Notamacropus eugenii: one gene and its partners. The protein of the gene in region 3 interacts with the protein of the main gene of each other region in a pairwise test. Links are inferred from orthologs where the notes say so. Each region holds a gene or a part of one and is shown on either strand. Other genes may lie near its edges.

Region 1 (7,144 bases), on a different chromosome or scaffold from region 3:
ACATTTTATTGAAATAACTAAAAAAAGGAGGCATATCTCCCCATCAAAATTCTGTGATATATATAAAATGAACATTTTCCTCTCTACCCTAGAACATACCAAATTGTCAACTTCTACCACTCACCTGTATCTACTATTTTTTCCCATCCTCCAACTTGTCCCAATCATTCTTCTCTCCTAGAGTTGCTCTTCATCTTTCTTCTAGGCCTATTCCTCACCAATTTTTTCATACACCTCCTCATGGATCATTCAATCCCCACTCTTTCACAGGACTTGATTTGGGATGAGGATGGATGCCACCCTGCTTCTTTTCAGGAAGGCCTAATAGATAAAGCCAGCAAAAAGTAACATCATGTTAAAAGGTGTGCACTTTGCCTTCCGTTCGGACTCAAATGATTCACAAAGTGCTCCACTGCTCTTTGGATACATTTTATCTTAACATCCTCCTAACACTGGGGATCTAATCATCTTGGTGCACACATTTAAAGAGTTGCAAATATGTAGCACCCACATTCAACAGTACCAATGGTAATGCCTATTAGGCCCAAGGTATTACCCTTTGAAAACAAGAAAAATTGTCAAACAAAACTCCCAATTAGTTAGCAGTGACTAGAGGACTAGAGATTCTCTAACATGGATCACCCCAGCACATTCCAGAAACACATTCTACTCCATTCCACCAAGTCCATCAAAAAGTATTTATTGTCTACTACGTGCTGCTACATATTGTGCTAAGCAGTGGGGATTTAAAAAAAACTTTAAAGCTCAGTAAGCTTGATCTTTTCAATAACTCATTCTGCCTTTATCCTTCCTTCTCTCCTCCAGTATCCAAATTACGTAACTATCTCAGGTCCATATTCCCTTATACCTAATTCACAGCTTACTGCCAAAAACTATCTACAAAACTCTCTACTAAATACAATCCGATGGCCAAAATATCTTTCTTCCATTAGGTCAACAATAATGTAAACAAAATCTGACAACAAATCTCAAGCAGAATGATTTTAATGATCAATCTTAGCCCTGTAAAAGAAATGAGGAAAGCACCTCCCTTTAAAAAAGTTGGGAGACTATAGGAATGGAATGTTGCATACCTGTTCAGAAGTGTCAATCATTATGTTCATTTGCTTAATTGGTTTTCTTTGTTTCAAGGTAGGGTTTAGGGGGAAAATAACTGACACAAAAATTTGGATCATATACAATAATAAAATGTTTTTAAAAAAATGCATCTTCTCATCTTGCCTGCCTATAAAAAATATAATGCTCAACCTATAACAAATCCTATACTCACTTTTTACTTTCTTCCTGACCTATATGGGGAACATACATCCTATAGTCTATCGCACATCATAGGTCTCTTTTTGTGCCTAATACCAGGAAAACTCTCTATATAGCCCAAAGAAAGCAAGACTTACCAGCAAACAAACGAATGTCTAACATTACACCTTCTCCTGACTCATTTTCTCTAGCTACTATTAGATACTGGTTTTTTTGGGGGGGTGGGGGGAGGAGGGAAAAGGAGGATAAACAGTATATAGTATGTCTATGAAGCCTAGAAATAAATGATATTAAAGAAAAGGACGCTGGATTCTTTACAAATTCTATATCCATTAGTAGAACCAATTTCCTACGTATCTGAGTTCATTAAGGTCCCCAATGGGGTAAACTAGCATTCATTTTTTTCATCCCTAGCACCTAATATGATATACTTGGGCTTAATAAGTATTTATTGATTTGCACTAAATGGAGGATAAATTAGCACAGGCCATTTCTGTGTCATCCTTTCCTCATCAACCAGGAGATGAATTAAGTTTTCATATTATTCTACCTCTAAGGCACCCAGTTCTAAGACCTTCTCTTGCCATGTTCATAAAACATCTAAGAGCTGAGAGGTTTACTTACCTAGGGAAGAGTTGTAGTCTCTGTAGCTTAGGAGCCAAGACTGAACAGGGCATTAGGATGGGAAAAGGGAAGGACCACCCAGCCCTGAAGGAAGAAAGGGAAAGGAGGAAAACGGTCAGATATTTGGAGAGGGAAGGGTCTATGGAGGGGAGCCAAAAACAAAACTCTTCCTACAGATACTGACTCTGTGCGTGGTGAAACAGATTCTCTTCCTCCTCTGAAAGTGTCAGTGGATGACGGGCAAACTTTGTGGGAACCCACATTCTGCTTCTCCCCATCTTTGGGGGACCCTAACTTTACTACTCTTTTCTTCCAAGCATTGACCACAACTCTGTCCCCAGACCACCCTTATTTCCTCTCTCCAGCTCTGCCTAACATGACACTGCCAGGAGGGGTAAGGAAAACAAGGCCTCTGACTGGCAGGAAGGGTGGTGGTGACCCCAAAGAGAGGCATGAGCAGAGTATCTCGGACTGCTGTGATGGAGTGGAGGATGTCTATGACATCATTAAGTTGGGTAAGCATGAGGATGAGGAGGATTAAGAATGAAGTATGGCAGAGGGGAGACACTAAGGCAATGCAGCTAGACCACGCTGGACGCCCTGACATCACCAGGGCAGAGGTGACGTTGGCTCCAGCCCCCCAAGCAGGAGGAGGAAGGCGATTGTTACGTGCTGGGGGTGGCAGTGACGTAGTAACAGGGCGCGGGGACGCTGGAACGCAGAGCTGAAGCTGGCCAGGGAGAAAAGGGTAGCACAAGTCGGAGGGAGGGGGAAGGTATTCCCACTTACCTCCCCCAGGTCCAGATCCGGGGGTCCGGGGTACCGGAGCCGCCGAGGCCACTGCCTCCTCCTCCAGCCCCCGAAAGATACACACAATACACACCGGAAGCGGAATCTACGCTCCACGAGTCCCACCCCGGGCTGAAGCCTCGGTGCCCACAGCCGGCCGGGGGGAGGAGCCCGTGATGCCATCGCCAACAAGCCGTGGATATAAACTAGGCTCAACCCCGATCAGCTGGGGCGAGAAGGGATTAAGGAGAAGGGGGTTTGGGCCGTCGCGCTGCACGCGCCCAATGGACCCGCGAGGCCATCGCGAAAAGGGCGGAAGGAGGGGGGCGTTGGGGACGCACGCCTGCGCACAGGCCACAGGAGCTGCCGAAGTCTCCGAGAGGGGCGGGTGGTGGCCAGGGTGGGCGGGGCTTCGGAGCGCAGGCGCCCCGGAGCTACCTGAGGCCACAGAGAAGCGGGCGCGGGCTAGAGCGGTCGTGGTGACGGGGTGTTAAGCCCAGGTGGCCGCTGGCGCCCTCTTCAGCGGACCCGGGACCGGGGCGAGGTGAGTCTGGGTCTTCGGATGGGAAAGCTGAACGACCACACCCCATGTTCTGGGCCTGGGAAGGGAACCTAGAGAGAAGCTAGGGCAGGACCCCCGGCGGTACGGTGGCTGGCTGTGCCCATTTCTCCTCGAGTCCGTGGAGGGAAAGATTAACCCAAATCAAAACTAAAATGGGAATTACAGTACTAGTTCAGTTCACTGGGGTGTCACAAGAAAAGCGAGGTTTTGCTTAAAAGGGCTTTATAGGAACAGAATAGTAAGAAGGCTCCCTCCCCTCTTCTATTAGGTTACAGCTGGTAGGTAGACGTGTTTCGAAGTTGGGGGAAAGAGGCTGCGTGGCCTCAGTGCACTTGAACTCTCGAGACCCCGGTTCCATTCCCGAACCCGACCTCCCCTTTGCTAACATCTCGTGTGAGATGTTCTTCCACGTCTGTAATCCTGGGAATGGGGAAGTTTGCAGTCTTGGGAACTCCAAGGGGGAGAAGGGCAGCAAGAACTGGTTCTCGAGCAGGATACTTGACCCCATGTGGGAGAATTCACAGGACTACGGTGGCAAAACTGATGTGGCCAGAAAGGTGTTGCTACTAAACTTGTAAAGAGTGATGACGACCACATCCTTAGATACCGATCAGTGCTACTTAGCTTAAGCTGAGAAAATTCCAAAAGTTTCCTTAAGCTTATCTGAAAAATTTTCAGAACTGAACACCAGCTCTCCTTAGTTTTGTACTGCATCTGCAACTCATATCTTGAAAGTCCTATCACATTTTTGGTAGAGGTTTCACCTGAACTACTTTGCCAAGAGCCTTCGAATTGGTCTTCCTACCAATAGTCTTTTCCTTCTTGGGTTCTTCCTTTACAGGATGATCTTCTAGATACACAACCATAGTAACCACGGCCTCTTTCTTCCTAGTCTTATTTTGTACTTCGGACACTATCCACGTTTCAACCAAACTGGACTTTTAGCTGTTCCGCAAGACATCCAGGACCCACACTCTTCCTGGAATTCCACCCTGCTCCCCCATACCTGAGATTATCTTCCAGCACTTCTCTTCCCTTTGAAATCCTCAACCTTCAAGGTCTAGATCACTTGCCTCCCCAGTCAGGGAGGGTATGTGAGTCTTCAAACAAATAAAGAGAGAAAATGCATGTGTGTTGCCTCATTGGCTAATCTGAATGTTTGACTGTTACAAGATTGTGTTCGTCCTTCTTTGTTGAAGAAGACCATGCCATCAGAGAAATGATGACATGACTTGCACTTGACTTTGTTTTGAGTGAGGGAGGGCTGTGCAGGTCACCAGCCTCACTTCTTCTCCAGAGCCATCTGAATCCAGTGACCTGATATTCCTCAGGATGACTGGAGATAACCCAGGATGCAGTGGGAGGCCTTGGGCACTTTAGGCTAAGGTCTTTGCAGACACTCACTTAGGGTGAGGCTATGCTCATTCATTGAATAGGCTTGTTTAAGAGGTAGGCAGGGCATAGCCCCATTAATGAGGTCAAGAAAAAGAAAGACATCAGGCTGGGTGGGAACTAGCAACAGTTACTATTGATAATCACTGTAAAGCTAGGAGAGTCCAGAGGAGCTCTTAGGCAGGGGCCCATTGGAGTCCCAGTTTCAGAGTGCAGTAGGTTTAAAGTTGTCATGACCGGACAAGACAAGCAACAGAATGGAAGGGAAGGAAAGGAGCCAGTAAAACTCAAGTCAACTGGGCATCTTTTGGCCATCCAAATTTACCTTCCTTTGGAGAGAAGAAGGTAGGGGAGGGGCAGGCAGACAGGAGAAGAGCAGTTGAGTTACTCACCTAGCTGGGTCCCCATTCAGCCAGCTGCATCTACTTACAAGGTTGTGTTTGTCCTTCGTTGTCGAAGAAGACCACCATTTCTCTGATGGCATGGTCAGCTGTTACAAGAAAGTAATAGCCGAATGTAGAAAAACAACACCTACTATACTAAATAGTTAGAGGCTGGTGTAGTTGGCACGGTGTATATAGTGCCTTTCCTAGAGTTCAAATTCGTCCTCGGATAACTTAGCTGTGTGAACCTGGGCAAATCACTTAACCTTATTTGCCACAGTTCCTCATCTGTAAAATGAGCTGGAGAAGGAAATGGAAAAACACAAGAGGAGTCCAAATGGGGTGATGAGAGTCAGACAGATTGAACAAGATACTCAAAACTGACTATATGAAAGGTGAATTTTAGTGTAAGGTGGATTTTAGTGTGTGTAAAGTGAATTTTTGCTATTATTTCTCAGAGTTCAGTTTCCCAGGATCCATAGCCATAACAGTCAACAATTCCCAAGTCCTAGATATGAGTTCCCACAGTTATGGTTCAAAACATCTCCACCGCGCCTGCACATAGTTATATAATGATAATATAGACATTCACTGCAGCTGCACTGTGAGATACATTTTGGCTGTTGCTAACAATATGCCTTCTTTGTTGGCCTATAAAATAGGTGGTCACTAGATAGTGAATGGGGAACCCTTAGGGTTGAATGCACAAATGCTGTGTGTGGCTCAACTGACCCCACTGAGGTTTGGTGGGGCAACACTTAGGGTTGAGTGCACTGGAATGCTGTGCTGCCTTGATTGGCCCCCATCAAGGCTTGGGGGGAATCTGTGTTTGCCTCAACTGGCTCCCATTGAGGCTTGAGGGGATTTAGGGGAAACACAAGTTGTGCCTTTCTGAATTGACCCTATTGAGATGTAGGGGTAGTTGCCTCCCCCCCTTCTCACCATCCCCTGTGAGAAGGGTGATTAGGGAATGCTGTAGGAGTTTGTGCTCTGGTTATCAGCAATCCTCTTCTGAGAAAACTAGACTAAAGTAAGATTATTAATCCCTTTTTAGTATTTCCTGTCTGACCAAATCAAGAGTGAACCCGTGCTAGCAGTCCTCAAGTATCCTGTGTTTATCTGTCTTACACTGACATTTTATATAGCATCCTACAGTTTGTAAAGCCTTTTACACAGATTATCTCATTTAAACTTCATAACAACCCCCCTAAGGGACGTGATAAACACTGATTATGGCCAACAAAAATTTCCCTAGCTGGAAATGATTTTTTTCCCCCTCAGATCTTAGAGTGCTTGTCCTGGGTCTCTGCTTTTTTTCTCCTTGTACTTTACCTGTTTGTGCATCCATCTCACCCCCTCCCCCAATACTGTAAATTCCTTTAGGGTAAGTTCTTTGTTTTTCATGGCTGTACATAATATATATATATATATATATATATATATATACACATATGTATATGTGCACACACAGAGTATATGTATATATATATGAAATTAGATATCTGTATATATAATACATACATATTTCTTCTTGCTGTCCTTCAAGGTTTAGCTTAGAGGTATCACAAAGGTGAAACCTTTTAGGATCTCCCCAGTTGTTACACTTTCTTTTCTCAGTTTATCTTGTACATGCTTATTTATATAAATATTGTATCTCCCTAGGAAAATAAGAATTGAGGGCAGAGAGTATTGTTTTTGTCACAGTATCGACAGAGACTAGCATCAGACCTTGCAAGAGAAATGTATTTACTAAATGTTTGTTGTACTGAATGAAAGTTCAGCAGTTCTCAACGATGAGGTAGAAAGGAGTATTAGAGGCAGATAGAGCAAGCAGGATGTTGAGATATGAGACAAGATACAGGATGTGACTACCCAGAAAAGTGATTAAAGAACACTGTGCATTGAAGCCCCACACTGTGGCCTTACCTGTGTGCCTTCACAAAGTACCCGAAATAACCTAACCTGACAGAACAACTTGTCCCCTACTCTTCCCTGTTCCCTTTGCTTATCTGTATAGACTCCAGAGCAGCACCCCTCCTCCCTCTTTCCTGTTCTCCTTGCTTATCTGTGCACCTCCAGACTAAGTGATATTCCAGGCTTTCCAGAGCCATACTTG
Region 2 (7,230 bases), on a different chromosome or scaffold from region 3:
GCAATAAGGGGCATTCAAGGACTGGAGGCATGGGAAAAGGAAGGGAAATAAAAACTCAAGCACAAAAGCTCATATTTCTCTAACACTTTATGGTTTACAAAACTTCCTCACAACAAACCCGTGGCATAGGCAATACAAGTTGCCTACTTCTATTTTACAAATGAGGAAACAGGCTCAGACAGACATGCTACAGCCATAGAGCTTAAGCAAACTCATGAGTCCTGTGCCCTTCCTAGCAAAGTTTTGTGACTCACATGGTATGCCAGACTGAGATAAAAGAATAATTATGGGGGGGGGGGAAGGAGAGACACAAGGTGGAGAGGAAAATAGTGAATGAAAAGATCGGGTGGGAAAAGGAGATTAGGAACACACCAGATATGAATCAGGATTGAGGACAGGGAAGACAAATCATACCCCTTGTCGTAGACATAGAGGGAGCGCAGGTACTCTGAGCTTGTCTCTCCCACAAACACTGATGGGATCCAGATCTGCTGCTGAATTTCCTCTGCAGGAATGGGACTGTCATACCAGGGACTCAGGCATCCCCACCTCCTCTCACCTCCCCCCACCCCAAGGACTTGGGTGCTCAGGTACCCAACTCTTACCACTATTCCACACCATGTTCAAAAGTTCATTGGAATTCACATTGTAGACTATAGCTGCTCTGTACCCAGCCTTTTGGGCATTTAGAACCTGAGAGGATGAAGGGGAGTCACGGTAACAACCACCCAATCACTCTAAATTCCTTCCACAATCCCCATTCCCATTCCCCACCTTGAGATCAAAGTTGCAGTCAAATCTCCGAAGCAGGGCAATAAAGGCAGAACCATTGGCAGGAGCAAGAGGTGGAGGATTGATAGGACTACAGGCATTGGCAGGATGAGCCTCAACTAGGAACCCCTGGGGGGAGGGAATAAGATTAGGTGCTCTTCCTGCCTCCATGGATCCAAAAATCCCTACCCTTTATCTCCTCCAGGCAGCAAGAGACACAAGTTAATTAGAAACATCCAATTCTAAACCAAAGTTTCTTTAGAATAATGATCCCAAACTCTCCAGTAAGATTCCTCCACAGTTGAGAACCCTCTCCCCTAACAACTACTTTCTTCTCCCACTTTAGCCTCTAGTGTACCCTGCTCTCCACGCTTCACAACCATCTGACTCCAAGCTTTCTTCAAGATAAGCTTTTGCTCAGGATATTTACCTTGAAATACTATTCACTCTCATAGGAAGTAATCTTCAGTTATAAACTCTCTTCCCTCTCCCACATACAAACCATCAATCTCTCCAATCTAGCACCAATTAAATATATTCCGCCATAAAGTTCTGATATGCTGCTATATAGTTCTAACTATAAAATATGGAAAAGCACCTTGTTGATCACGTATTTTAGGGCTTAATTTTGTGTCTCGGATCTTTTGAAAGTCTGGTGAAGCCTTCTCAGAACAATGTTTTTAAAATGAATAAAATGAAATGCATAAAATTACAAAAAGATTCAATGGTAAAGTCATCAAAATATGAGAAAAAAATTCATGAACCCCAAGTTAAGAACCCCTGACCTAGTCTAACCCTTTCACTTTACAGATGAGAATACTGAGTCACAGAAGTGATTTGCCCAATGTCACAGGTGCAAAGTAACAAATTCAGGTTTCTAAACTAGAACTTTTCAGTAGAGTTGCAGTCCTTTTCCCATTATATCACTAAGCTTACTGTTCACCTAGCCCTTCTTACCCCCTTGATCCAAACTTCCAGAGGATAAGCAACTTACCAGGAGCCCTTCTTGGCTCAGGGAAGCCCCAAATAGGGCTGGAAGATCTTCAAAGTCCATGCTGCTATTGTGGTCCGAAGTCTGGGAACATAAGACTTACTGCTTCCCTTTGTCCCCGCTGAAACCCTGCTCCCTCCCTTCCTCTCCCTTCACCAATTCTAATATTGGATATATATAATTTAGAACTGGAAGGGGAATTAGTCCAAACCTCTCATTTAGCAAATGAAAAAACTTGAGGCCCAAAGGTGGGAAGTAATTAACACAATGGTAGTAACTGCTGGAGAGTTCAGGTCCTTTGGTTCCCAATCTAGTATTATTCCTAACACCCACGGAGTAAGAAAAGGTTGGGGATCCACTTTGCGTAGGGAACCTGTTGTCCTAAGCTCAGCTCACCCTGGGCCCAGGTCCCCAGACTCACGGCTCGGATGAGCCCCCAAGTGGGGGTGATCCCCCATAGCACGGTGACCATTAGCACAGGGAACGGAAAGGCCTCAGGACGCATGGTGGCAGCAGCAGCCGCAGGTTGGGGAGGACGGGGTCCTGCAGCCAAAAAGAGAACGGAGTTCTGTTCGAGCGCCCCACGCCCACCCCACAAACCCCAAATGTATCCCACCCCGGCCAAGTAATCTAATCTTTCACCCAGCCCGAACTCCCCATGGTATTGGGCGGGAGGGGGGAGAGGAGAGATGGGGAGATGACAGTTCTGAACCAGGTGGGGCAGTAGGGGTCTCTAGGTCCACTCAAGTTTTGTGGTTTGTGGGTAAAAGGGGGGGAACCCAATGATAAGAGGAACTTCCGGTAAAGGAAAGAAGCCACAAGGAGCACTTCCGGACCTGCAGGATCCCCCCGCCTTACCCCTTAAAAGGGACTTCCGGCCCCCGACACCTGGGCCCAGGGGACATCAAAAGTGGGCCAGCGGGTTAAAGCAGAAAATGAGGGCGACAAGGACAGCTGCACATGTGGAGGAAGCCTAGGTGCCCAAAGAAACCTCCTGCAAAGTCCTTCCCATTCTACTGGGAAGATTTCCGCTCCCGCTGCCCCCGGTGATTCCCAGTTTACAAACCTCTACTCCCTCCCAGGGCTGCTGGCGCCGCCGCCGCTACCTCAGGTTCATTTAAGTCTCGCGAGATCTTCCTCACTTCCCCCGTCCTCCAAACACTAAAGCCAATTGTCGCGAGAATCTTCCTCGTCACTCCCCGGCTTCCTAGATCTCACGAGATTTCCCCCACTTTCTCTCATGCCCCGGGGCCTCCGTACTAATGATGCCCATGTGGTATCCGCACGTTTGTTTCGGTTTACCCCGTTCGATCTCTCTCTCTCTGTCTCTCTCCCTTTATTCACGACCCTCTCCACGAACCTCAAACCCACTCCCACTCCCAACATTATCCTCTAAGCTCCGCCTCCATTCCTGCGCTTCACTATTCTGGTTCCGTCCTCTCTCCGGTCGCCTCTTTGTGCGCCTGCGTGCCAACCTCCCGCTGAAGTGGTGATGGGGCTGACCCCGGGGTTTGGGGAGGAGGCGGGGCTGTCTGGGCTGTCTGGGCTGGTGGAGAGAGCTCACGCAAGGACGCGTGCGCGCGCACGCAGTGTCACCTTGGGTGCGTGGGGGGGGCGCGCGCTCGCGACTCCCTGGTGTAGCTGGGCATTAGTGGAGATGGCGGCGGCGGCGGCGGCACCTCCGGGGGGCAGCGAGGTGACTTTGAAGCCCCGCACGTCCCCCAAATCGGTCAAGTTCTTGTTCGGGGGCCTGGCCGGGTAAGCGTTCTCCTCCCCACCCATCTACCGGCCCGGGCTGGAAGCTAAGCGCTTCTCCGGACCGACGAGGCTGCACTCGGGGGCGGCCTCGGGGCAGCGCGGACGTTGCTCCCGGCCCATCCCCCCCCCGCCGCCCCTGCGCCGCACGGCCCCCATTGCACGGTGGCCCCGGACTGCCTGACGTGTGGCCCTCCTTCACGGAGCCCCCGTCACACCTCCATCCCTTCTCTGGCCTTCGGGCCTGCAGATCCCCGGGTCATTGCAACCCGCCGTGCCGCCCCGAGCGCAGCGCGACCCCCTGGCCTGGCCCAGCCAATCTCTGGAAAGTTGCGTGAACACTTAACCCGAATTCGGACCTCGGTTGGCACCCATGGCCCGTCCACTTTTACGTGGTGCCCGTCTGAGCACCCGAGGCACCCGGGATGGAGATTGTGAGGGTCCGTCTCTGAGCCCCCTTCTTCCCCCACCTCAGGATGGGGGCCACTGTTTTTGTGCAGCCTCTAGACCTGGTGAAGAACCGAATGCAGCTGAGTGGGGAAGGGGCCAAGACCCGTGAATACAAGACCAGCTTCCACGCCCTCACCAGCATCCTGAGGAATGAAGGGCTAAGGGGCATCTACACAGGGTAATTCTAGGACTGGGGACCTGGGAGTTAGAGGTCTGGGCCTTTGGGGAAAGGAAGGGGGCAGGCACTGTAGGTGAGGCATGAGGACTAGCAGCTGTGTGGCACCATGCCCAGCCCTTCTCTCCAAACTATGAGAAGGAAGGGCCAGGGAAGGGGTTTTCCCTTTCCCATTGGGCTTTGATTCTGGAGTGCCTGACCTGCTTTCACCTTCCATCAGGCTGTCTGCCGGGCTCCTTCGCCAGGCAACCTACACAACAACTCGCCTTGGCATTTACACTGTTCTCTTTGAGCGCCTGACTGGGGCAGATGGGACACCCCCTGGCTTCTTGCTGAAGGCTGTGATTGGCATGACAGCAGGTGCTACAGGAGCCTTTGTGGGAACACCTGCTGAAGTTGCCCTGATTCGAATGACTGCTGATGGTCGGTGAGTCATGCCTAAATCCTCCCTAAGGACCTAGGACCCCATCCTCTCTCTGGGCCATTAGCCTGAAAAAAACCAGTCAATTAGCAATCAGGAGGCACAAGTTCTAGTTTCACTACTTCCCCTCCAATTTTGGGGCAAGTCAGTTTATTTCTCTGAACTGGTAAAATGAGGGAATTGACTTTTTGGCTCTGAAGTGCTGTGATTCTTTGTAATGCAAAGAGAATGGCATTATCAGTTGGTAACTCTTGGTTTTTTCCTTCATGACCTTAGCTCTTTCCAGATCCTCTCTCCTGTCATCCTCTCCCATTTTCACCATTACTCACTTTCTGCAGGTTGCCCCCGGATCAGCGTAGAGGCTACAAGAATGTTTTTGATGCACTCTTGAGGATTACCCGGGAAGAGGGGGTCCCTACCCTTTGGAGGGTGAGTGGAAGAGGCTTGATGATTAGGGGGGAGCATGGAAAGGGGAGGGGGTCCAAAAGGAAGTAGGGGGCTGACACATTCCTTTTTCTCTTAATGCTAGGGTTGTATCCCTACCATGGCTAGAGCTGTTGTTGTCAATGCCGCCCAGCTTGCTTCCTATTCACAGTCTAAACAGTTTCTCTTGGATTCGGGTGAGCCCCAGACCTTCCCCACCCACCTGAGCATCTGGTCCCCAGTCCTTCGTGCTCCAGTCATTCCAAGGATTTAAACTGACACATCTTTTTCCCCTGCCACTATAGGTTACTTCTCTGACAACATCTTCTGTCATTTCTGCGCCAGTATGATCAGTGGGCTGGTCACCACAGCAGCCTCTATGCCTGTGGACATTGTTAAAACCAGGTGGGCTCAGAGTCTCTAAGAGAAAGGGGGAAGGATGTCTGGGTTTTCACATATGCACTTAACATTGTTCAGATGGAGGAAATGGTAGCTCAGTAGGACAGCAAACCATACTATTTTTTGAGCTCTGGACTTGGAGTCAAGAAGACCTGGTCTCTTTTCTTCATTTTTCTCTATTTGTAATATGGTAAAATGAAACTAGAAAACTTTAAAGGGCTATTCTTATTTTAAATCTATCATCAAAGATTGTAAGCCTTGGTCTCATTCCATCCCACCTAGGCCCCAGCTTTCCCCACAGCTCTAACCTGTTATTTACCCCTCCTTGTATTCACCTCAGGATCCAGAATATGCGAATGATTGATGGGAAGCCTGAGTATAAGAATGGACTGGTAAGAATTTGGGGAATTCAGAGAAGTTATTCACCTATCTCTTCTTTATAATAAGCTAATATTATGTAAAACATCTGATCTGTATTCATCCGTGGACCTAGGCCTGGGAATCTTCATATTTGGGTCCTTTGGTTGGAACTGTGTAGGTGGGGAGAGGTTGGTGTTCCTCTCATCCTCCAAGCCCACCCCTTGTTCCTTGACAGGATGTGCTGGTGAAGGTCATTCGATATGAAGGATTCTTCAGCCTCTGGAAGGGATTCACTCCCTACTATGCCCGGCTTGGCCCCCATACTGTCCTCACCTTTATTTTCCTGGAGCAGATGAACAAAGCTTACAAGAAGCTCTTTCTCAGTGGTTGAGGAGCCTCAAAGGTGCCTGAGGACCAGGAGGACATGGCTCCAGGAATGGGGATCTGAGGGGTCCCTACCATGCCACACCCCCATGAGCTTCAGTTCTCCCAGCCCTTACCATACATTCACCTTCCAAAGGGGATGTCTGGATTCTGTCCTCCTCAGCTTCCCATTCTATTTATTTCCCCCATCTCCATTCTTCCCCCCCCCCCATGTGGTTTCTCCTGATATAAAGGACTTTGATCTGTCCCCTGCTCCAGCTTGGACTCTACTTCCCTTTTCCTGTGGCCTCTAGGTTCCCCCCAAAGATCCTGGGACTTTTCTTCATAACTCTTGGAACCTCTACCCCAGAACACCCCATGGAGGAGGGAGGAGGATAAAGAGGGCCTGGCAGAAGCAACATTTTGGATAATTTTAAGTTCCATGGAACAGTTGACTGATAGAGTATTTCTGCTTGCTTCCCAAGCAGGGAAACTAAGTTAGTAGGAGACAAAAGAGGAAGGAAGCAGAGGAGCTAGAACAGAGGAGAGTGCCTATGTAGGCAGGGAGGCCTCATGGTAAAGTAGAATACTTCTTTTAGTCCCCATCCCCAGCAAAGGACCTAGTAAATGCCTAGTAAGAGACAGGTTGAAATTTGGTGTCTGCTCAGCTTCCACACTGATCAAGACCAGGGCCCCTCCATACTCCACGTGTTTCCTCATTTCTGTTGTAACAAGTGACAGTTATAAGGAAGTAAGAGGTAGGAAAAGAGAGCTGTTTGCCCCTACTGTGTGCTTGGATACTCTATCCTCCCTCAGCCTGAGGAAAGGGGCTGCTTTGATTGATCAGGTTCCTGAGGAACAGGTTGTCTATGCCTTTTTTTTTTATCTTAAAAATTATGGTAAAAATACACGATGATTTTATGAAAATATATTTAACTATGGTAAGGGATTTGTCATTACTTCGACTTTTTTGGGGGTCATGAAAACATTCTGCACTTCTTATATTCCCTTTTGTTGGGAGCTGGAGTGGGAGATGGATGTCCCTTGAAAGGGCTGAAGCCCAAATGCTGCAAAGGAAGAATGTGGGAGACAAATTGACTTAGCAGTCTGAAGGGAGGGTGG
Region 3 (7,973 bases):
TAGGTATTACCTTTTAGCACTAGTAGATAACTTAGCAGTGGTTTTGCTAGAGAGTTTGGTGTTCTTTTTCTGCTGGGTGGCAGATGGTTTTCTTTCTTCTTGTTCCTCAGGTTCTGGTGCTGCTGGGTCCCTCTGATCTGCATCTGAACTGCCACTGCTGGTACTTGGACTTTCATCATCTGACCTTTGCCTATCACTGGACATCTTGGTCAAGTTATTTCTCTGAAAACTTTTAAAAAAAAGAAAAGAAAAAAGGGCGTTAAACCTGAAGAACAAATTCCACATCATTCCTTTCTGCAAAATATTTCCTAAAATCTGTCTTTTAAATGATAAGCCTTTTAAAGTGTCTATACACTTATCTCATTGTTACTGCAAGGTTACAGAGGGAGGTGATGTATGTACCAGAATGCCAATATTTAAAGATTTACAGAACTCAACTTGGAAAACCCACTCAGAATTTTTTTCGTCCCTTGGACAATCTATCAATTGTCTACTTTCTCAGAAGGCACGAAACAGATCTGCCAGGGAACTTAAGCAATGAACATTAATAACATCTGACACATTGTAAATAACAGACCTCGCTGAAAAATGTTACAAAGTTACTAATAACGTCTAAATATTTACACATTTACGTGGGTCAGAGCTACCAAATTCCCTCTCTGAAGGAAAAACACGTCCTGCTAATCACCCCTATGCTTCCTAAACGTGGCAACAACCCCTTTCTCTTGGCACTTAAGCCTTTAAGCGCTGTACCTCCCCCCCTTCCCCAAGGAAAAAAGGGGGGGAGGCTAAAAAGCAGCCTCCTTGGTTGGCACGGCCAGCAGCAAAGATTCATTTGGCCACCACAGGGCTGCTCCACAGCGAAAAGCAAAATTCAAACTGCACCTTCTGCAAAGCTCCCAACGCCACCGTTCCTGGCTCGGTTTTGATATTACAGACCGACATTTTGGCCAAAAAAAAAAAAAGCCCCCCCGCCCCCAAAAGAACTCCGAACAGAATTTGCAAAAGAGAGAAAAAGAAAAGCTTTCGATAGGAAATTGCAGCGGCGGCGGCGGCGGCAATGCAGCTTTGCAGCCCCCTTTGTGGGGAGGGACGGGGAGAGGGTTTGTTATGGTAGGAGGCAGCGCTCCAATATCAGCGTGGTGTGTGCACCAAGTGATGCGTGAAGTCAGTCCTGGCTCCTCGGGCTCCCGGAGACCGGCAGGGCGAGCGCCGAAAACAAGAACAAAGCTCCCTCGGCCCCCCTCCCCCTCCCCCCCCACCAACCAACCCCAGCTCGCCCCGGCGGCGGCGGCGGCTCCTGCTGCTGCTGCTGCTGCGGCTGCCGCGGCTGCTGCTGCTGCTCCTGCCGCCGCCGCCGCCGCCGCTGCAAGCCGCCCCCCCCACCCCTCACCGCCCCCCCCAAAAAAACCCTTCCAGCTTTACCTTCACCGCCGTTCTGCCCCGCTTACACGCAGCTGAGATGTGGGGGAGGGAGAGAAAAAAAACCCTTCCTTAAGGAAATGGAAGCAGCCGGGAGGGGGGAAGGGGGGGGGAGGAAAAAAAAGAAGCAGAGGAGGCTCTGGCCGGGGAGTGTGGAACATTGAAAGTCGTAGGGGGTTGTGTAGTGCGGCGCTCTGGCCGGAGGGTGGCGCCGCCCAGCGCCTTTGCAAAAAAAAAAAAAAAAAAAAAGAGGGAGAGAAAAGAAAACGGGGGTGGGGTGGGGGTGGGGTGGGGGACGGAACGGGGAAGAGGAGGAGGAGGAGGAGGAGGAGGAGGAGGAGGCGCCGCTGCTGTGTGAGGGCGCGAGCTCCCCGGGAGCCCAGATGGAACGGGGGAGATCCGAGAGTTCTACGGCCTCCCCTGTCCCCGCTCGCCTCCCGATCGGTGCAGTCAGCAAGTTCCCTGCGAGCTGGGAGGGAAGGGGAGGGGGAGGGGAGGGGGGAGGAGGAGGCGGCGCGCGTGCTCGCTTGCCTGGCTGTGGGGCGCGCGCCGGCAGCCCGGGCTGGCTCCCTCCCGTCGTTCGCTCGCTCGCTCTCTCTCTCTCCCTCTCTCGCTTTCTCGCTCGCTCGCTCTCCCGCCCCCCCCGCGCTTCCCTTCACCCGGGGGGCGCACGCGTCTGCCCGCCTGGGCCGGCCAAGGACAAAGAGTGCGCCGCCCGCCGGGGACAGGGGCGGACTGGCCCGGAGGAATGCGCCGGGCCGGCCAGCCAGCCAGCCCCGGGGAGGGCGGGGGCACCCGCCCGAGGGGCCAGAGGGCCGATTTTGCAGCAGGGTGGTTTCCGGCCTGCACCGCTCCACTCTCCCTGCCCCACCGCCCTTCCCTGAGCTACCCACTGGGCTACCCACCCGTCGGTTCTGCACGGGGGAGGAGGAGGAGGGAGCTCGCCGTCTGGTGCACCTCGGCAGCGCCAGCAGGGAGGGTCACCCCCAAAGGCTCTCCTCCCCCGCCTGGCACCCTTCCCCCAGTGCGGGAGGAGGCGGCGGTGGCTCTGGATACTAAAGGGTTGGGTGTGGGGGGAGGGTGGATCCTCAGGGCCCAGGATCTCGGCCCTGCCACCCCAGACCTGTAGTTGCTGTCGAAGGCCACCTCGCCGCCTCCCTCCTGCCCGGGAAGATGGATTGATATTTACCGAGGAGTCCAGGGACCGGGGAAGAGCCATCTTCCCTTCCCTGCAGTCCGAGTGGGCAGGGACGGAGGGGACTGGGGGCTTGGGAAGGACGGTCCTGGGCACCGGGGGCAGGGAAGGATCTCAGGGGGCTTGGTGACCCCGGCGCCTTCTCCGCCCTTGCCCTTAACAGCGCTCCCCCACGGGATGGGGTTCCGGAGGCCCTGGAAACTTAAAAGGGGGAATAACAAATTTTAAATGTCCCGCTCGCGCTGGAAAGGGGCGCGACCGCAGCACTTTGTGCAGCGCGAGGCTGGCATGCAGGCAGGACCCCGGCCCTGGACACATGCACCTCGCTGGCAGCGCGAGTCAGGCTGAGCCCCAAACTCAAGATTCCTTCTCTCTCCCCCACCCTCCCAGTACTTCGGATTAACCGTTCCTTTTTGGTCTCCTGGCAGGCGGCCCCAGGCCCAATCACAAGGTGGCCAGAAATACAAAAACTTCCTGTTTACAGCCCAGACCTGCCCCTGCTACTGAGCAGCCCTGGTTCTAGGGATGGAGCCCGAGAGGGATTTGTGGATTCCACTTACACAGATGTTGGCAAAAGAGAAAAAGAGATCCGAGTCCTGACAGTGTGGGAAGTTCAACGGAAAGTACATCAAAAAGGGAAATGTGCCCCCATACTGGGCTGATTTTTTTCTCCCCAAATAGAAAGGTTTTTGTGAGAGGTTTCCCCAAGTAGATCTGATCAGTAAATAACATTCGTGTATTTACTGAAGGACGCAAGTTGGAGAAAAAAGGTATTTCTGGGAAAATGGACTTTGACCCTTGCTAGGAGTTTGGACTTTGTTCTGGCAGCAGTGGGGAGCCATGGAAGGTTTTTGTGCAGGGGAGTGGGTTGATAAAGTGCGCTTTATTTAAGCAAGATGAACGGGAGAGAGAAAGGCAGAAACACCACTAGCAAGGAGACCACTTGGGGGTTGTCTGGCTGTGAATTGTTAAAGCCCTGGAGTTAGATGGTAATAGTCAATGGAAAGATGTAGAAAGTTGTGAAGAAAGACTCAGGAGGATTTGGTGACTGGTTATAGAGGAGGATAAGGGAAAGAGAAGAATGTAAGATGATTCAGGTTTTGTACCTGGGAGATAGAAATAGAGCAGGCAAGTAAAGAACTTGGTTTTGAGGAGAAAAGATAAATTCATAGCGACAAAATTTTATAGCACAAAGAGGCTTAGAGGTCTGGAAAGGACATCATTTGGAGCCATTAAGACTTGGACTCAATTTTGCCATTTACTATACTAGCTCTGTGACCTTAGGCAAGTCACTAAACTTGTGAGTCTTAGTTTTCTGCCTCCATCTGTGAATTTATTTAAATATATATGGGTTTTAAATCAGTAATTCCTATTCTGTTTACCTTAATTAAATTAGTTTACCAATGTGAAAATATGAAAACACTTTATACATTTTAAAGGGATATACAATTCACTATAAGGTGGTACTGTGATTATCACCTCCCTCATTTTACAGATTTGGACCCAAAGTTCTAGCTAATGATTAAGTGAAAAGAACAGTAAACCATTAAGTTAGGTGACCCAAATTCTAGTCTTTGCTTCATCTGACACTAACTAAAGGTAAATGACAAGTAAATCATCTTTTTCAGTCTCAGCTTCTTGGTCTGTAAAATCGACTGGCATCTAAAGTCACTTCCAGCTCTTGTCTGTGTTATGTACGCAAAATAAGTTGTCTTGAACTTTCTCCTCTTTTGTTAAAATGTAAGCTCCTTGAGGGTAGGGACTTTAATTTTTTTTTGTAGTTCCCTTTATAAATGAATTCACATATCCAGTCCCTATCCCTAACCTAAAGAGGGCTTCCCATGTAATCAGCACTTGATAAGTGAATATCTGTTGATTTACTTTTTGTTTCTCCTATCATTCCTCCAGCCTGAAATGTGAACACTTTTTCAGATTTCACTTATTCTTCAAGATCCAGTCAAAATCACATCTTTTTTAAAAACTTAGATCCATGATGTCCTCTTCTGAACTCCTAGCGCACTTAATCCTTATCCTATTCATCCAGAAATTAGTCATGTAGTTCCTTTTGATGATTTTAAAAATATTTTTCTTACTTTCTTTTCATTTCCCCCCTCTGTTTAAACATTTCAAATATCTCTACCTTATATCTCCAACCAGCCTGTTAACTCCTGGAAAACAAGGACCTCAGACTTGATATCCCAAAAAAGGATTAGGATAGTGCTCAATAAATGTTTGTTGATTGATTCCTTTTGTTGATTTCAGCTGTTTTCTTTCTTTTCAAGTGCCCCCCAAGCTCTCTCAGTATTCCTTTAACTCCCTGCTTGCTCTTTATTTTTCTTCTTTCTTTCTCTTTTCCCTTTCTTTCCATCCTCCCTCCCTTCTTTCTTACTTCTTCCCTTCCTTTCCTTCCTTCTTTCCTCCCTTCTTATTTCCTTCTTTCCTTCCTTCCTTCCTTCTTTCCTTCCTTCCTTCTTTCCTTCCTTCCTGTTTAGTTTTTGGGAGCAACATGATGCTTTGCAGATAGTACTAGACTAGAAATTAAGTTACCTGAATTCTAGTTAGTAGCAGAGTTAGAACTGTGTGACGTTGGACAAGGCCCTTCATTTCTCTGGGCCTCTATTTTCTTGTTTGCACAATAAGAACATTGGACTTATTAATTAAAATCCTGGCCAGCTCCGAAATATTGTGATATAGGTATCCATTTACCTATACCCATACTTCTCTATGCTATCAAGGCTTTACCAATAAAATGGGAAAAGAGAAATTTTATCCATCAATAGAACTGAACTGGTTCACTAGGAAGACATATTTTTTTTTTTTTTGCAGGGGGTAAGAAGGGGGTTGCTTCAGGGTTTTTTTAAAATCATTTTCGCTCATTTTTATCTGAAGTGGTGAGCAGCTCATTTCAGTTTTCCCCCACAATAGGGAACTTAAGGATATTTTCTGGAAGAACAACACCTCTCCTTTTTCAGACAGTTTTGAAAAAGAGTGGATGAAGTGGATACTGTCTCTAGTTCCCTCCTGGTCCTGGGATGACTTCCGTCTTGGAGGATTTTGATACAAAATTAAAAAGTCTCTTTTTTTTTTAACATCAGTGATGCTACTAAACAGTGTTATTGAAGTTGTTGGAGGTATTGTTCCACATTAAACATTCTATTACACAGTTCTGATCATGGCACTGCCAACTGAATACAGTCTATTCTTGGCATTTAAAGTCTTCCACAATCTGACTCTAACCTACCCCTCCAAGTTTGTCTCACATTAGTGCTTCACATATTTCCCCTCCAGATTATTCAACATTTCCTAAAATCATACCCTGCTCTCCTCATCTGTGCTATTGTTTATGGGTTTTCCTGATATAAATCAGAATGGTTAAAGAACCTAAAATTAATGCCGTATGAAGAACAGTTGAAGGAACTGGGGATGTTCAGCCTGGAAAAGAGAATATTTGGACTTGAAGTGGGATTGGTGAAGAAACATGACTGCTGGCTTCAAGTGTTTGAAGAGATGTCATATAGAAAGGGGACTAGACTTCTCTTTAGCTCCAGAGAGAGAATCTAGAACAATAGTTGGAAATTGCAAGGAGGTCAATTTAATCTTGATGGAAGGGGAAAAAAATCAATCAGAGCTATACAAAAGTGGAATGGGCTGCTTTGGATTATCAGGTGTATTATAGTGAGGATCTTTTTTTCAGGTATAGGTTGAATTAGTCCTTTCCAATTCTGAAACTAATTCTCTAAACTGGCTTTCAATGAAGGGAGAGATAATATAAAACAAGTTGAAAGTACTAACTGTTCCCAGATAAAGATACCAACCCCAGTACACATAAGATTTGTCTTTTTCCACTTGAAAATGGACAATGTGGCTTGAGCCACATTGTTTTGGATCTCTCTCTCTGTCTCATCCACCCTCCCTCCATTCCCTACCCTCCTCTAACTTAATTGAGTACTGGTAGATTCAAATGTGTAGCCTAGATACATTTGTTTGAATAGTAAAGATCTGCATTTCCAGATCAAAAAGGCAAACATTAGTGGCATTCTTATTCAGTTTCTCGCCCTCCCAAGTAGTCCTCTGTTTGAGGCTCAGAAAAAAATGGATAACAAAAAGACATTTTCCAGAGGATGGCTCCTACAGCTTTTCAAGAGGACACAGGAAAAGTGAGATTTTTACCAACCAAATAGTCTTTGCGCATATACGTTTTGGACATTAACTTTTTCTTCTGTATTCCTTCACGTTTGTCTAAATTAAGGTTACCCAATAAGAAATAATACATGTGCATCCAGAGTTTTGAATTAATTTGATTGGTATTCAGTCTTGTGGAAAAGATTGCAGACCCGAAGCCATTAAAGAAAAAGAAAGAAACTGAATTACCACAAGATGGATTGGAGAATTTTATTATGGCTGAAAAACTAGCTGATTGAAAGCAAAGGTTAAAAATAAATAGGTCTTTCTTGGACAGACAAGTGTTAAAAATGGGTACTTCAGGGATCTCCACGAGGAAGAGTCTTTTTTAACCTTTTTGAAAGTATTCTAGAAGAGGGCATATACAGTAAAATTTCAAAGTACAAATTATATTAGCCCTTCTAGGTAGTAAAATCCCTGGTGAACTAGGATAAAGTAAAGAGGTCATCAGCCTATGCAAGCTAGTGAAAAATGGCAAATGAGCTTCATTGTGGGTAAATGTATACAGAAAAATAAATCTAACCTGCATTTAAGTGATAGCCCTGGGCCTGCAAGGTATAACCTTAAATTCAGAAGAACTGAGTTCAACTTTTGGTTCTGCCAGTAACTGTAACTGTATAACTTGGCACAACTTAACTAATCATAGCTACTGTTAGTACTTCATAAAGGCTGTGTGAGTCTCAATGTAAAGTACACATATTTACAATGTAAAATACACATATTAAATATTTTTAAAGTGTTATATAACTGTAAGCTTTATTTTTTTAGACATTTATGAATTTTTTTTAATTTAAATTAATTTAAGAAGGAAAAAAAATCTTAAAAGTCATGTGACCCCTGTACAATTGGTTGCATGGGACCAATAACTTATGTCCCGAAAACTCAACCCTGGATTTACATGGACTGGGTTGAGTCTTGGAGACTTCTCCCAGGAATTTCCCTTGGGCTCATGCCCCTACCAAGAATTTCCCTGGAAATATGAGAATGTGGCTCTTGTCTAGGTCTCTAAAGTGAAAATAAGGGGTCCTCAGCTCTCTTTCAAGGACTCAGGCTAACAATACCTTGAATGTGGGACAGACTTTAGTTTGCTTAATAGAAAATTCACCCAGGTCCGTGAACAGTCATGAAAGCTCTCCTTCCCTCTCCAGTGGATCTTTTGCCTTCCTGTGGATCT

What was found.
Region 1: the proteins of UBE2E3 (region 3) and TRIM39 interact in binary tests that used the Homo sapiens proteins (3 or more experiments, as listed by UniProt). The link is inferred for Notamacropus eugenii from reciprocal best matches to the Homo sapiens genes UBE2E3 and TRIM39.
Region 2: the proteins of UBE2E3 (region 3) and RNF167 interact in a two-hybrid assay, tested with the Homo sapiens proteins (2 studies listed by BioGRID and IntAct). The link is inferred for Notamacropus eugenii from reciprocal best matches to the Homo sapiens genes UBE2E3 and RNF167.

The regions. Positions count from the first base shown.
Region 1 is NC_092873.1:84,399,274-84,406,417, reverse strand, and holds the start of TRIM39 (E3 ubiquitin-protein ligase TRIM39), read right to left. Parts: upstream 3,004-7,144; 5' UTR 2,692-3,003; intron 2,485-2,691; exon of another isoform or gene 2,087-2,484; intron 1,987-2,086; 5' UTR 1,903-1,986; intron 322-1,902; exon of another isoform or gene 125-321; intron 1-124.
Region 2 is NC_092873.1:79,355,501-79,362,730, reverse strand, and holds the start of RNF167 (E3 ubiquitin-protein ligase RNF167), read right to left. Parts: upstream 3,004-7,230; 5' UTR 2,829-3,003; exon of another isoform or gene 2,621-2,828; intron 2,306-2,620; 5' UTR 2,268-2,305; coding exon 2,184-2,267; exon of another isoform or gene 2,159-2,183; intron 1,847-2,158; coding exon 1,766-1,846; intron 901-1,765; coding exon 775-900; intron 694-774; coding exon 606-693; intron 506-605; coding exon 415-505; intron 1-414. Other genes in the region: SLC25A11 (mitochondrial 2-oxoglutarate/malate carrier protein), read left to right, coding at 3,255-3,520, 3,993-4,145, 4,363-4,569, 4,902-4,992, 5,093-5,183, 5,292-5,391, 5,726-5,777, 5,981-6,136.
Region 3 is NC_092876.1:244,823,260-244,831,232, reverse strand, and holds the start of UBE2E3 (ubiquitin-conjugating enzyme E2 E3), read right to left. Parts: upstream 3,006-7,973; 5' UTR 2,612-3,005; intron 2,515-2,611; exon of another isoform or gene 2,328-2,514; intron 2,321-2,327; exon of another isoform or gene 1,954-2,320; intron 1,918-1,953; exon of another isoform or gene 1,426-1,917; intron 1,384-1,425; exon of another isoform or gene 1,271-1,383; intron 1,252-1,270; exon of another isoform or gene 886-1,251; intron 863-885; exon of another isoform or gene 625-862; intron 230-624; 5' UTR 205-229; coding exon 11-204; intron 1-10. UniProt on the Homo sapiens protein: Accepts ubiquitin from the E1 complex and catalyzes its covalent attachment to other proteins. In vitro catalyzes 'Lys-11'- and 'Lys-48'-, as well as 'Lys-63'-linked polyubiquitination.